2 linked regions of the Arabidopsis thaliana genome follow. The protein of the gene in region 1 interacts with the protein of each later gene in a pairwise test. Each region holds a gene or a part of one and is shown on either strand. Other genes may lie near its edges.

Evidence for each region.
Region 2: the proteins of HA8 (region 1) and SUB interact in a protein complementation assay, tested with the Arabidopsis thaliana proteins (one large-scale study listed by BioGRID).

What each region holds. Positions count from the first base shown.
Region 1 is NC_003074.8:14,722,287-14,729,383, forward strand, and holds HA8 (H[+]-ATPase 8), read left to right. Parts: upstream 1-1,816; 5' UTR 1,817-2,022; coding exon 2,023-2,073; intron 2,074-2,158; coding exon 2,159-2,515; intron 2,516-2,594; coding exon 2,595-2,909; intron 2,910-2,989; coding exon 2,990-3,436; intron 3,437-3,517; coding exon 3,518-3,640; intron 3,641-3,716; coding exon 3,717-3,821; intron 3,822-3,908; coding exon 3,909-4,218; intron 4,219-4,314; coding exon 4,315-4,829; intron 4,830-4,897; coding exon 4,898-5,071; intron 5,072-5,157; coding exon 5,158-5,340; intron 5,341-5,418; coding exon 5,419-5,588; intron 5,589-5,679; coding exon 5,680-5,776; 3' UTR 5,777-6,041; downstream 6,042-7,097. Other genes in the region: AT3G42630 (Pentatricopeptide repeat (PPR) superfamily protein), read left to right, coding at 28-117, 192-1,349. UniProt on the Arabidopsis thaliana protein: The plasma membrane H(+) ATPase of plants and fungi generates a proton gradient that drives the active transport of nutrients by H(+)-symport. The resulting external acidification and/or internal alkinization may mediate growth responses.
Region 2 is NC_003070.9:3,720,567-3,728,220, forward strand, and holds SUB (Leucine-rich repeat protein kinase family protein), read left to right. Parts: upstream 1-2,141; 5' UTR 2,142-2,568; coding exon 2,569-2,659; intron 2,660-3,002; exon of another isoform or gene 3,003-3,036; coding exon 3,037-3,166; intron 3,167-3,263; coding exon 3,264-3,335; intron 3,336-3,500; coding exon 3,501-3,566; intron 3,567-3,657; coding exon 3,658-3,729; intron 3,730-3,812; coding exon 3,813-3,884; intron 3,885-3,963; coding exon 3,964-4,035; intron 4,036-4,109; coding exon 4,110-4,175; intron 4,176-4,272; coding exon 4,273-4,338; intron 4,339-4,421; coding exon 4,422-4,915; intron 4,916-5,011; coding exon 5,012-5,370; intron 5,371-5,460; coding exon 5,461-5,732; intron 5,733-5,805; coding exon 5,806-5,944; intron 5,945-6,027; coding exon 6,028-6,143; intron 6,144-6,279; coding exon 6,280-6,436; intron 6,437-6,549; coding exon 6,550-6,612; 3' UTR 6,613-6,884; downstream 6,885-7,654. Other genes in the region: AT1G11145 (hypothetical protein (DUF674)), read right to left, coding at 6,966-7,070, 7,146-7,478, 7,550-7,600. UniProt on the Arabidopsis thaliana protein: Regulates the expression of transcription factors that define the cell fates.

The sequences.
Region 1 (7,097 bases):
ACCGTACCGTAACCGAGACTGGTCGCAATGTTGTCGCTCAATCTATCTTTGAAACCCCAACATCTCAAGCTCTTATCTTGTTACACGGATTCGTCTGCTCCTTCAATCGCGAAAAAGGTACCTACACACTTGCTTCTGTTTCTTAGTTCACTTCATATCTTGAATTTTAGGTATCTCTCTACTTTGTACAGTTGATCAAGGAATCAAAGCTATCTAGGGACTTCAGTCAAAAGATACAAATCGTAGACTACGCTCCATTAGTTCAAACTTTAAGCCAGAGAAGATTACCTGATGTAGCTCATGAGATTTTTCTCCAAACGAAATCAGTTAACTTGTTACCAAATTACAGAACCCTTTGTGCTCTTATGCTTTGTTTTGCTGAAAATGGGTTTGTTCTTCGAGCACGTACGATTTGGGATGAGATTATAAACAGTTGTTTTGTACCTGATGTCTTTGTAGTCTCTAAGCTTATATCTGCTTATGAGCAATTTGGTTGTTTTGATGAAGTTGCCAAGATCACCAAGGATGTTGCTGCAAGGCACTCGAAGCTTCTTCCGGTTGTGTCTTCACTTGCTATATCCTGTTTTGGTAAGAATGGACAGTTGGAACTGATGGAGGGTGTTATAGAGGAAATGGATTCAAAGGGAGTGTTGTTAGAGGCTGAGACTGCTAATGTGATTGTTAGATACTATAGTTTTTTCGGTAGTTTAGATAAGATGGAGAAGGCTTATGGCCGGGTTAAGAAGTTTGGTATTGTGATAGAGGAAGAAGAGATAAGAGCTGTGGTGTTAGCGTACTTGAAACAACGGAAGTTTTATCGGTTACGCGAGTTTTTGTCAGATGTTGGTCTCGGTAGAAGAAATCTTGGAAATATGTTATGGAATTCTGTATTACTGTCATATGCAGCTGATTTTAAGATGAAAAGCTTGCAGAGAGAGTTTATTGGAATGCTTGATGCGGGTTTCTCTCCTGACCTTACCACCTTTAACATTCGCGCTCTTGCGTTTTCTAGAATGGCTCTCTTCTGGGATCTACATCTCACTCTTGAACATATGAGACGTTTGAACATTGTTCCGGATCTTGTGACTTTCGGATGTGTTGTCGATGCATATATGGATAAGCGACTAGCGAGAAATTTGGAGTTTGTATACAACCGAATGAATCTGGACGATTCTCCTCTTGTCTTAACTGATCCACTTGCATTTGAAGTTCTGGGGAAAGGGGATTTCCATCTTAGCTCGGAAGCTGTTTTGGAGTTCAGTCCACGGAAAAACTGGACGTATAGAAAGCTAATTGGAGTTTATCTCAAGAAAAAGTTGCGGAGAGACCAGATTTTCTGGAATTACTAGCTACATGCCACATCTTTGCTGCAAAGACCGTCACTCTTTGCTCACTATCACAATCCCCCTGATAAACTTTTCCGATGCTTGAAATGAAACATTGAGGTTAGAGAGTCTTCTTGCTACTAGATTTACATATAAATCATACATGCCTGTATTTACAATGTTTTATTGTTAAATAGATATGTATATTGAATTACATACATATTATTAATGCACATTTTTATCCGGAGTTGTGGACCATAGAAAGACATATTGACTCCTCAAAGTAAATTCTGCATGTTACATTGAAATCATAGGCTAAATTTGAGATGCACTATTTTTAGAAAGTGTAGAGAAAAGGACAGGAAGAAATAAGCGAAAGCTTTGGTAAGCCACCAAACCTGATTACTGGAAGAAAAGAAAAAAGTTCCGAGAATAGAGTTAGATCGCTGGTGAGGGTTTTAAATGGAACACAACAATGGTTGTTTTAGAGTGTGTTATTCTTTTGTATTTATACCTTCTCATAGGTTTCTTGTAATACACGCTTCTTCCTCTCTCTCCCTCTCTCTTATGGCCTCGTCTTGAAAGCGTCTTGCATGCTAAGAGAAGGCTTTAGAGCAAGGAGAGAAGGGAGAAGTTGATTTATACGTCCATCGGATATATCTTCTTTTTATATCTGTCTCTCTTTTAAGGAAGAAAAATGGCGACTGAATTCTCGTGGGATGAAATCAAGAAAGAAAATGTGGACCTTGTAAGATTTTTACAGAGTTTAATTCGTTCTCGAGATCTTGAACTGTTGAAAATCTGTAATAATTTTTGAATGATTTATATTATAGGAGCGGATCCCTGTGGAAGAAGTGTTTGAGCAGCTGAAATGCTCAAAAGAAGGTTTGTCCAGCGATGAAGGTGCTAAAAGGCTTGAAATATTTGGGGCAAACAAGCTTGAAGAGAAATCAGAGAACAAGTTTTTGAAATTCTTGGGGTTCATGTGGAATCCTCTCTCATGGGTTATGGAGTCTGCTGCAATCATGGCTATTGTTTTAGCTAATGGAGGAGGAAAGGCGCCGGATTGGCAAGATTTTATCGGTATTATGGTGTTGCTTATCATCAACTCCACCATAAGTTTCATCGAGGAGAACAATGCTGGCAATGCCGCTGCTGCTCTCATGGCAAATCTTGCACCAAAGACTAAGGTATGCAAATTTCTCAATACATATATATAGGTATGTATTTTCTAAAAAGGAGAGTTATATAACCTATGTGTGAATGTAGGTGTTGAGAGATGGTAAATGGGGGGAGCAAGAGGCTTCAATCTTGGTTCCGGGTGATTTGATAAGCATCAAATTGGGTGACATTGTTCCTGCTGATGCTCGTCTCCTCGAAGGAGATCCTTTAAAAATTGACCAATCTGCTCTTACTGGTGAATCCCTTCCAACCACCAAACACCCAGGAGATGAAGTATTCTCTGGCTCAACCTGCAAGCAAGGTGAGATTGAGGCTGTTGTCATTGCCACGGGTGTCCACACCTTTTTTGGCAAGGCTGCTCATCTTGTTGACAGTACCAACAATGTTGGCCATTTCCAAAAGGTATTTTAGAAATGAACAACATCTGAGTACTGTAACTCTTGGTCTACCTAGGGTCTCACGGCTGGGTTTTTATTTTCCAGGTTTTGACATCAATTGGTAACTTCTGTATATGCTCAATTGGATTGGGGATGTTGATTGAGATATTGATTATGTACCCTATCCAACACCGCACATACAGAGATGGTATTGATAATCTATTGGTGCTTTTGATCGGAGGAATCCCAATCGCCATGCCAACAGTTTTGTCTGTAACAATGGCTATTGGATCACATAGACTCTCTCAACAAGGTGCCATCACCAAGAGGATGACTGCAATTGAAGAAATGGCTGGAATGGATGTTCTCTGCAGTGATAAGACTGGAACTCTAACCCTTAACAAGCTCTCTGTCGACAAGTCCTTAATTGAAGTGTTCCCAAAGAACATGGATAGTGACTCAGTTGTATTGATGGCTGCAAGAGCTTCCAGGATTGAAAACCAAGATGCCATTGATGCTTCCATCGTCGGAATGTTGGGTGATCCTAAAGAGGTACGTACTTCATATTTGTGAAACTTGGATTCATTTTGTTTACTGTCCTTATGTTGCAATTGTTTTTGATGAAATAAATAGGCAAGAGCAGGAATCACAGAGGTGCATTTCTTGCCCTTTAACCCTGTAGATAAACGTACAGCGATCACATACATCGATGAAAGCGGAGACTGGCATCGGAGCAGTAAAGGAGCTCCTGAGCAGGTAATGTAACTAATATGCTTGGTTTTACTTTTAATTTAACTTACTATCTTTATCTGAGTAACTTTATTATTACTAGATCATTGAACTCTGCAATCTCCAAGGAGAGACTAAAAGAAAAGCACACGAAGTTATCGATGGTTTTGCTGAACGTGGGCTTCGTTCTCTTGGTGTTGCTCAACAGGTATGTCATAGTTAGACTCATCACATAATGACATAAACATATTTCGTTATATGGTTTTAAGAAAATTCCTTTTCTATTCAAATGCAGACTGTGCCTGAGAAGACTAAGGAAAGTGATGGTAGTCCATGGGAGTTCGTTGGTCTGTTGCCACTCTTTGACCCCCCAAGACATGACAGTGCGGAAACTATTAGACGAGCCCTTGAGCTTGGTGTCAATGTTAAGATGATTACCGGTGACCAACTTGCCATCGGTATTGAGACTGGTCGTAGGCTTGGCATGGGAACCAACATGTACCCATCCACTTCACTCCTTGGCAATTCAAAGGATGAATCATTAGTTGGCATCCCTATCGATGAGCTCATTGAGAAAGCTGATGGATTTGCTGGAGTCTTCCCTGGTAATATATTCAAATAGTCAAATGTTAAAATATTGTTCAGTTACATCAGTCTCACTTGGTTTGTTCAATTACATTGTTTTCATTTGGTTTACACAGAGCACAAGTATGAGATCGTAAAGAAGCTACAAGAGAGGAAGCACATTTGTGGGATGACTGGAGATGGTGTAAACGATGCTCCAGCTTTGAAGAAAGCGGATATTGGAATTGCAGTGGCAGATGCTACTGATGCGGCAAGAAGCGCCTCAGACATTGTTCTAACAGAACCAGGACTAAGCGTGATAATAAGTGCCGTATTGACAAGTCGCGCTATCTTCCAGAGGATGAAGAACTACACAATCTACGCTGTTTCCATCACTATCCGTATTGTTTTGGGATTCATGCTTGTTGCTTTAATCTGGAGATTTGATTTCGCACCTTTCATGGTCTTGATTATCGCAATCCTAAATGATGGAACCATCATGACTATCTCTAAGGACAGGGTTAAACCTTCCCCGGTGCCAGATTCTTGGAAGCTCAATGAGATTTTCGCCACTGGCGTTGTTCTAGGAACCTACATGGCTCTTACCACTGTACTCTTTTTCTGGCTAGCTCATGACACAGACTTCTTCAGCGTAAGTAGTGTACAATATCACATCAACAACATTCGGTTACTATACTTATTTTCAATATTAAATTGCAGAAAACATTTGGAGTTAGGTCCATACAAGGGAACGAAGAAGAACTTATGGCAGCTTTGTATCTTCAAGTGAGCATCATAAGTCAAGCACTTATCTTTGTAACCAGATCAAGGAGCTGGTCATTTGTTGAACGACCTGGGTTTTTGCTCCTAATAGCCTTTGTTATAGCACAATTGGTTAGTAGACTCTCTTTGTACCATAATACTATCCATTTTCATTCATTACCGTCTGATACATGTGTCGTTTTTATGCAACAAACAAGGTGGCTACATTGATCGCTGTGTATGCAAACTGGGGATTCGCAAGAATCGTCGGTTGTGGATGGGGATGGGCTGGAGGTATATGGGTATACAGTATCATTACCTACATTCCTCTTGATATTCTCAAGTTCATCATCCGTTACGCTCTCACTGGCAAGGCTTGGGATAACATGATCAACCAGAAAGTGAGCATATTTCGGAAACAAAACTTTACCTTAAATCCATGTTAGTTGTGAGCTTCATAGCTCTTTAATCTTTTGCAGACTGCGTTCACAACTAAGAAAGATTATGGAAAAGGAGAGAGGGAGGCTCAGTGGGCACTAGCTCAACGTACACTCCATGGTCTACCACCTCCAGAAGCAATGTTCAACGACAATAAGAACGAGCTCTCTGAAATAGCAGAGCAGGCCAAAAGGCGTGCCGAAGTTGCGAGGTAATAAAGTTAATCCTCTTTGTCATATTCTTTAAGAAAAAACATTGGATAATCAAACCAAACTAAACAAGGTATTGTTTCTTATTTGTAGGCTGAGAGAGCTTCACACTCTAAAGGGTCACGTTGAATCTGTAGTGAAGCTCAAGGGGCTTGACATTGATACCATTCAACAACACTACACTGTTTAACCATTTATGGGGTTACTATGATGAAAGAGCCCTAATGAGTAACGAAATAAGCTATGTATTCTCCTTATATTGGTTTTAAACTATTTGTAACAAAAAGAGAGCAAAAACAAGATGTAAAATATATCTTTTCCGTTGGATGAAATATAATAACACTTGCAAAAAATCTTCTCTCGGTCCTGGTTTAGATTATTAGGGTTGAAAACATATTAAACTTGTCGTCTTTATTTTCAAAACCTACTTCGACATTAAATATAAATTAATACTCTAAAATATATAGTAAAAAATATATATTAGAATTAATAAAAAAAAAAAAAAAATAGTATTTTTGCATTACTATATATTGTGTATAGTTACTTAAATGAATACTAAACCCAAAAAAATATTAAAAATCGATAAAAACAAACTCACGCATAACGAGAGTTAATAACCTAGTCATATTGAAAAATTTAGTAACTTAAACTTAAGTTATACAAAAAAAAAAAAAAAAACTCTAAATGTATTTGAATTTTATGATATTTAAATAAAAGCCTTAAAAAAATGGACTTGATTAGCTTAGTCTACAATTTGGAAAACCCTATGATAATATATCAATTCAAAAAAGTGAAAAAAAACACACTATCATAACAAAACATAAAGCACACTTTATAACCGTAGATCTCTTAACCACGTATCATTTAATAACAGTGATGATAAACGTACTAATTATGTACACTACAAGCTTAAAAAGGAATAAGATTCAATTGTTTTGGTAATGTTTTGAGGCTCAAATAATGTTTCCTAAAACTAAATTCAAACAGAAATAACTGAACGAAAACAAATAACTAAAACTGTTCATAATTTTGTTTTTCTTCTAAAAAAACTATTTTTATGGCTTTTGTGATAAAAATAAAAGTAAAGTAAATGTTGAATTTTGATTTAGAAGGTAATAAATCGTTAAAAGGATGTGTGATCTCACTTTCTGAACTAACAAGTTTTTTATGTTTCAGTTGCTCCTTGTTTTTGCTTATGTTTTGCTTATGTTTTGCTTATATTTTATTTATTTGTTTTTGTTTTTTTTTGCTTATTTTAATTTATTCAATTGGTAATCACCCATTCCAATGCATGGATTAAATTAATCAGAGCAAACAATTGGAAGTATACAAGCACCAGAAAACAAACGATTACAATTGTTTAATACAAGAAGCATATAACAAACAATTACAATTTGTTTATACAAGAAACGGCTAGCAATTGCAACAACTACGCATACTCGATCATAGAACACATAAAACTATTCAATTTTTACTAAGGAATAGACGGATCTGAACCTTGGCAAACCTAG
Region 2 (7,654 bases), on another chromosome or scaffold:
GGCTCATCTTTTGGAGAGAGCATTGTAAAGATTATGCTTTTCTTAACGCTTTCTTGTTTGTCCTTTTGCACCCCACATCACACGTTAACTAATTTATTGGATGAATGTTGAATAATTTCCGCCGAGAGAAAAAAAAACAGGCTTCAATAGTTCTGTATCATACTTCAAACTAATTTAGAAAGTTTGAGTGTATCATACTTGTGTATATTGGAAAATGAAAATGGAACGAGACAATTCAATAGTTCTGATCAATTTAATATTTTCAAAACGATCAAGTGCATAACAGCAAATTGTATCCAAGTATCGTCTAACAAATTCTTTTAAGTTCTTTTTTTGACTTTTCATAATCTATAGAACTTTTTCTTTGAAGCTTCTTGATGTAAAATGGTAGGGCGGAAAAAGCTAGGGTGATGTAAAACCAAAACTTGAACCAAAATTCGTGTAGATACGTAACTAGATTTGATTTAAATAAATAAAACATTCGTTATGTGCCTTGGATCCTCTGGCTAACGGGTGACCATAAAGTAGTGTTGCATTCTTTAATTTTGTTTCGCCTTTTGCGTAATGAGAGACCATATTATAAAATAAAGCCTAACTTTACAATATCTGTATTTTTTCCTCGACACTCTTTTTTAAGAGACCAATAGTTTGAATTCATTATCATGCATCTTCCAATCTCATAACTAATTTGGTATGCATGTATAAGTGCTACAATCATTATTATATGGGGTTTCTGATTTTTTGAAGTACAAGAATCAAAATGAATCCAACCTGATTGGTGTAGTTTTGGGTCGAGTTCGGTCGAAACAAAAATTTGATTCGGTATTATTTATTTGATTTTGGTTCGGTTTATTATGGTTGGCACTTGGCATATTGGTTTTGAAAAAAAAAAATGTTATCATGTACGATTTTTTTTGGGTGCAAAAAAGCATCATGTACGATAGTTTTCTACTTTTCTTCAAAGATTGAAAGTAACCGTTGCAATCTCATTGCATTATTAGGCCTACGAGAGGTATCTTCTTTCAAGTGGGCTTTACCATTACACTATTGACCAAGTTTGGGCCACATTTGGTTTGAATAGCCCATAAGAATGTGGTTTTTTTTTTTTAACTAGTCGCAACTTATTATCGTGTATGGTGTGAACTTGATTGATTTTGACAAGCCAAAAAAATCGATTGATAATTAATTGATCTCGACAAAATAAAAATCTAATATCAACACATAAGCTCACCAAGCATGTTTTATTCTTTATTGATCATACAATGTATGTTTGCTGTTATTATTCGGGTTGCAAATAATTTATGTGAATATCAGAACTTCAGAAGTAACTCCTACCAAAAAAGGAACTTGAGAAGTAATCACATATGAATATCGAAGTTACTCTCATCTCAAATTATGCAATGATGGCATTCCATTAAATTACTACTATTGAATTGTACACAAATCCTCCATCACATCAACCAACAAACAAAGAATAATACAAATTAAGAATATATTCCAAAGAAATTGATAAATAGTGATTGTTAGTTGTAACTGTAAACACAAAACCAGAATTCTTAATTATTAATAGAAAAACAAAGGTTTCGAATGGTAACCAAAATGCACCGTGCAATCATACATATAACATTAGTTAGTTATTTTTAGAATATATTGAAAAGATAATTATTGTATAATTACTAAGTATATTCAATTTAAAGTCGTAAGAAAAAACCCTTTATTGGCTCTAATTGTTTAAAAACATATATTAGGATTCACTAAGATGTATAATTGAAATCAATTTCCAAACCATGTAAAAGTACTAGTTTTCTCAAATAGTTTGTTGCTATTAGTTTGTTACTAAAACTAATTCACACATTTTTATCACCAAAAGAGCAAAAATGGACGTGGGATGAATATGATGATATTTTTTTTGACCTTGTTGTAGGGTCTCTCACTCTCTTCTTCCATTAAAGAATTCTCAGAGCTTTTCTTACTTCAACTGTTTTCTTGGCCCATCTCACTGAAATAAGTGTGATAAACTCTGCCTGTTACATTATTTGGATTTTAATAGGTGAAGTAACGGAATATGTAATCTACATCAAAATAATATTCACTTCTATCTCTCTACCTTATGGCATTAGAAAAATCCAATTATTACATGAAAGGAAACTATAGTAATTAGATGAAGCATAGAAGCGACAATTAAAAGACATAAAGAGAGACAAGTCTTGGCAAGTTTTCTCTGTTTCACACTTTGGAGACGAAACCTTAAAGGCTTAAAACTGAGAAAAACAAAGCCGTTGGCTTTTGTAAGCCGCTCGTTCTTCGAGACAAAACACACTACACTCTTTCTCTCTCACTCACTCTTCATCTCTTTTCTTCTTTCTCTCTCTCCTAAAAATCCGACGAAATTATGATTCACTTTACCTTTTAATCAGGAATATCCCTGTTTCACCCTTCTTCTTCTTCTTCTTCTTCTTCTTCCTCGTGTTTTTTTTCCATAACATTCCCTCTGAATCTTCGTTTTTTATTGGAAAGAAACAATCTAATCCAAGTTCAAGGGTTTTCTCATCTTCAGTGGCTGAAGTTATGAGCTTTACAAGATGGGAAGTGTTCTTTGGTCTCTCTGTTTTAGCCTTGACAATGCCTTTCTCAGCTGGAGTTACTAATCTACGAGATGGTAATAATCTTTCTCTGCAAAGTTTTTTTTATTTGGATTTTGCTTTGACTCTCCTTCTTTTGGTTTAGTGAACACTCTAGATTTTTTTTAGACTTGTGTCTAGTGAAAATGACTTACATCAGTTTTAGGGTAAACTAGGTAAGCAATATAGCTGTTTGGGAAGCTCCAGATTGGCAAAGTTCTATGATTTTGAGGCTACCTCAAAAACCCTAAAAAGTTTAGGTTTTTGACACATAAGCTCTTGTTAGGGTTTTAGTTCAAGACCAAGAAATTTGTTCTTATTGTTCTTCATTAAATGGTTATCATAAGAAAGATTCTTTAATCTCTAGAAATTTTACTTTTTGATGTGTTTGTCTGTTGTTTAATAACTTCTGCAGTTTCGGCGATTAATAACTTGTATATCACTTTGGGAGCACCATCTCTACATCATTGGCTTGCTTTTGGAGGAGACCCTTGTGGAGAAAAGTGGCAAGGTGTGGTGTGTGACTCCTCAAACATCACAGAAATGTATACTTCCTCTTCTGCTCTTGTAACTCTTTGTTATGGTTTGCTTTGAGTCACCAATTCAGGTTCTAACCACGTGAATTATTGTTGTTGGCTGCAGAAGGATACCTGGCATGAAGGTAGGTGGAGGCTTAAGTGATACTCTGGCTGATTTTTCATCTATCCAAGTCATGTAAGCAAAGCTTCTTGTCTTGTTTTCTTTCATCTTCATCTTTTGTATGAGGCTTCTTGCTATGTGAAGAACATGCAAGATGTTGTTACCATTGACTATAAGGTTTGGTTATAATCTTGAATTGCTTTGTGATACTTTTTCTCTCTTCTTTGTTTGAGTGGACAGGGACTTCAGTAGCAATCATATTTCAGGGACAATTCCGCAGGCTTTGCCTTCTTCCATCCGAAACCTGTGCGTTTGAGAATTGACTATGTGTATGGCAATACTTATGTTTCCAACAGTTAAAAGACACTTCATGTTTGGTTTCATTTTCTTGTTTCAGATCTCTCTCAAGCAATCGCTTCACTGGGAACATTCCCTTTACATTGTCCTTTCTATCCGATTTGTCTGAACTGTAAGTCTTTATTAATGTAGATACCGTTTCTTGCATCTGCGGTTTTTCCTCTGTTTGAAGCAGACTCTTTCTTTTCCCTTCAGGTCATTGGGAAGCAATCTTCTATCAGGAGAGATACCAGATTACTTTCAGCAGCTATCAAAACTGACAAAACTGTATATTTCCTCCTCACTAAGTCTCATTTTGTATCCTCCCATCAGCGTCTTTCATTTATACATTAAGTTTCTAATGCAGGGACTTATCGTCTAACATACTGGAGGGGCATTTACCTTCTTCCATGGGAGACTTAGCTTCTCTTAAGATATTGTAAGTGCACATATATGAAACCGTATACAAACATTGTTATCATTGCTTTTATATGTGATGTGGTCGGACTGTAGGTATTTGCAGGACAACAAGCTCACAGGAACACTTGATGTTATAGAGGATCTTTTCTTAACCGATTTGTAATCGTTTTTCACCTTGCATACTCTTTGTTCTTGACTCTCCAACCATTAAGCCAACTTCAGTATCTCACTATGGCTTTTCATATTTTTGATTCAGGAATGTAGAAAACAACTTATTCTCGGGACCTATACCGCCAAATCTATTGAAAATTCCAAACTTCAAGTAAGTATTACTAAAAGAAAACTTGAATGTTTTTTTTTTCCTTTTCTTTAGCCATTCATGTTACATTGTCATTATAACCGCAGAAAAGATGGAACTCCGTTCAATACATCGATTATAACACCACCGCCTCCGCCTGTGGTTGATCCTCCTCCCGCTACTCACCGTGCTCCTCCTGTTCCCCGTATCCCTCCTGTTTCTGGTGTTCCCCCAGCACCTTTTGCTCCTTTTGCTCCACTGCAACCACAACAACATCCACCACCATCACCACCTCTGGTCTGGTCACCACCTTCTTCTGATAATGGAGGAGGAGATCCCTGGAACTCTGTGTCAGGGCAACCTACCTTGCAAATATCACCTCCTTCAGGTTCAGGATCAGGAAAATTCTGGTCCACTCAAAGAATCATTCTAGTAGTTTCTTCAGTGGCCATAATTGTTCTTGTATCCGGTTTGTGTGTTACACTTTGGAGATGTTGCAGAAGTAAAATATATAACCGATATTACAGTGGAGCTCGTAAAGATTTACAACGACCATACTTCAATAAGCCTCCATCTCAACCAACCCCCACTATGGGAAAAGGTACACTGATTCTTTTCCTTCCAAGAAAAGAAAAGAAACTTGTGCTTTGGCTCATTACCTAACGGCAAACTGCTGTGGTGTTTTCTTTTGTTGCAGTTTCTCGGGAGCCTATGGTTAAGCCTTTCGATGGATATGGAGCTGGAGACAGGAAATATGGGTATCCAATGCCACAGCGGGCTGAAGAGAGCCGGAGAGCAATGCCTCCTACTTCATATTATAATAAGGATGTTAATACACCTCAAAAGCCGCTGCAACAACCACCGAGGCAGTTCCAGTCCAATGATACTGCTTCAAAGAGAGCGGCTCATTTCCCCCCGGGCTTGAATTCCTCATCTTCTGCTACTGTTTTCACCATTGCTTCACTTCAGCAATACACAAATAATTTCTCAGAAGAGAATATAATCGGGGAAGGGTCGATTGGTAATGTCTACAGAGCTGAGCTTCGTCATGGAAAGGTGTGACACTTTCCTCTTATTTGTCATTTGGTCTTACAGTATTTTATGCTGTGCATTCTTATTTACGTCTTGACACGTTGTGATCTATAGTTTCTTGCGGTGAAGAAGCTGAGCAATACCATCAACAGAACACAGAGTGACGGCGAATTCCTCAATCTAGTCTCCAATGTGTTGAAGCTTAAACGCGGTCATATATTGGAGCTTCTTGGTTACTGTAACGAGTTTGGTCAAAGGTTACTTGTGTATGAGTACTGTCCTAATGGATCACTTCAAGATGCACTACATTTGGATCGCAAGTTGCACAAGAAGCTCACTTGGAATGTACGTATAAATATTGCATTAGGAGCTTCAAAGGCATTGCAGTAAGTTAAAGAACCTCAACATGTTACGCCAATCTATATTTGGAACATATAGGATCTTAGAGTTTGGTTTCAGGTTTCTTCATGAGGTATGTCAACCGCCGGTTGTTCACCAGAATTTCAAGTCTTCCAAGGTTCTTCTTGATGGAAAGCTCTCAGTACGTGTTGCAGACAGCGGTTTGGCTTATATGTTACCACCACGCCCAACGAGTCAGGTAAATTTGTCATCTTATTTTGAAGATCCCAAACATAAGAGTGAGTGTTGTAAAGGATATGATGTTTGCTTATAAAATTGTAGATGGCGGGTTATGCCGCTCCTGAGGTTGAGTATGGAAGCTACACTTGTCAGAGCGACGTATTTAGCCTTGGGGTTGTAATGTTAGAACTGCTCACTGGACGCAGACCATTTGACAGGTTAGCTACTCTAAAGAGACAACTAATAGAAGCCATAAAAGAGTCTGAACTCAAAAGTCAACATGTTCACTTATGTTTCTTATGCAAAATCACTGTACTACACTATCTCAAGACAAAACCCTGTTTTTTTTTGCAGGACAAGGCCGAGGGGACATCAAACACTAGCTCAGTGGGCGATTCCTCGGCTTCATGACATCGATGCGTTGACAAGAATGGTTGATCCGTCATTACACGGAGCGTATCCAATGAAATCATTGTCACGTTTTGCAGATATCATATCACGTTCACTGCAGGTAAACTTAACTTCATTCATCACTTAACTAGATGAGAAAGCAATGTCAAACACGTGACATCAGAATATTAACTAACCCTTTTGACTTCTGTGCATGCTTATCTTTGTCTGTAGATGGAACCAGGATTTAGACCGCCGATATCAGAAATAGTCCAAGATCTTCAACATATGATCTAAGATACACAACCTTGGACTAAGACGCAGAAGCAATAGTTTATTGTCAGATTCTTGTTCTTTGTCCTTTGATGAATGAAAGTATTTCTTTTGTATTATAATAACACTTTATGTATGTTGTTGGCTGTATGAAATGAGCTATGGGATCATCATTATGTAACCCCAATCCCATTACCGGCTCAAACATTATTCACCAACCTGATCATGTATTTAGATTCTATTTTCTGAAAAGGATAAACATTTTTTGAATCAAAAGACATTAAAATTCAAGAACAAAAGGTTGTACTTAACAGTAGTGTAAAAGAGAAGGTAACTTGTTCAACTAGCACTGTAGACAACAAAACCTAAACTTCAAATCAATCTGCTCCACAGAGGGCATGTGATTGATGCTTTAGAGTCGTTTCTCTGAAAGAAAGCTCCCGAAAGCCGTAGTCAAGGCAGTGGATGTCACGAATGAGGCTCTTAGTAAACCTATGGCCTGGATTAGTGTCAGATTCAAAAAAAAATATCAGGAAAGAATAGTAATATAGATATACATGTGTTTTGCCAATGTTGATTTCATGCTCAAAAATATCGTCCAAGTTCACATCAAACTTCTTCTTTACGCAAATAGTAAGATCATCTGAGACAATGTATGTTGCCCCTCTCTTAACTAACCCATTGCTACCATGAGGTGTCGACTGAGAACTACCGTCACTGTTTAAATAACTGACCCCAAGCAACGGTTTCTGCAAACTATATTGCCAAGGAAGCATACATGTGTTAGTAGATGCATCTGTGCCTCCCCTAGAGCTCAAGTCCTTCAAGCTTCTACAAAAGTTGCCAATGCATACTAGGTCGATATTGCTTCCAGTGATTTCCCATACAGACTCCAAAGGGATAGCAAGGAAAATGAAAAGTAGATCCACAAAAAGTCGTGTCCGCTTTCAGCGTCAAGAACCTTCATGTCCTGCTTCCTAGCAAACAGAGTGAGTCCCTGCTTCACCTCCATCTTGCGCGGGTAGCTTTGGCATGTCATGCCAACGTGTCATACCACAAGAGCTAT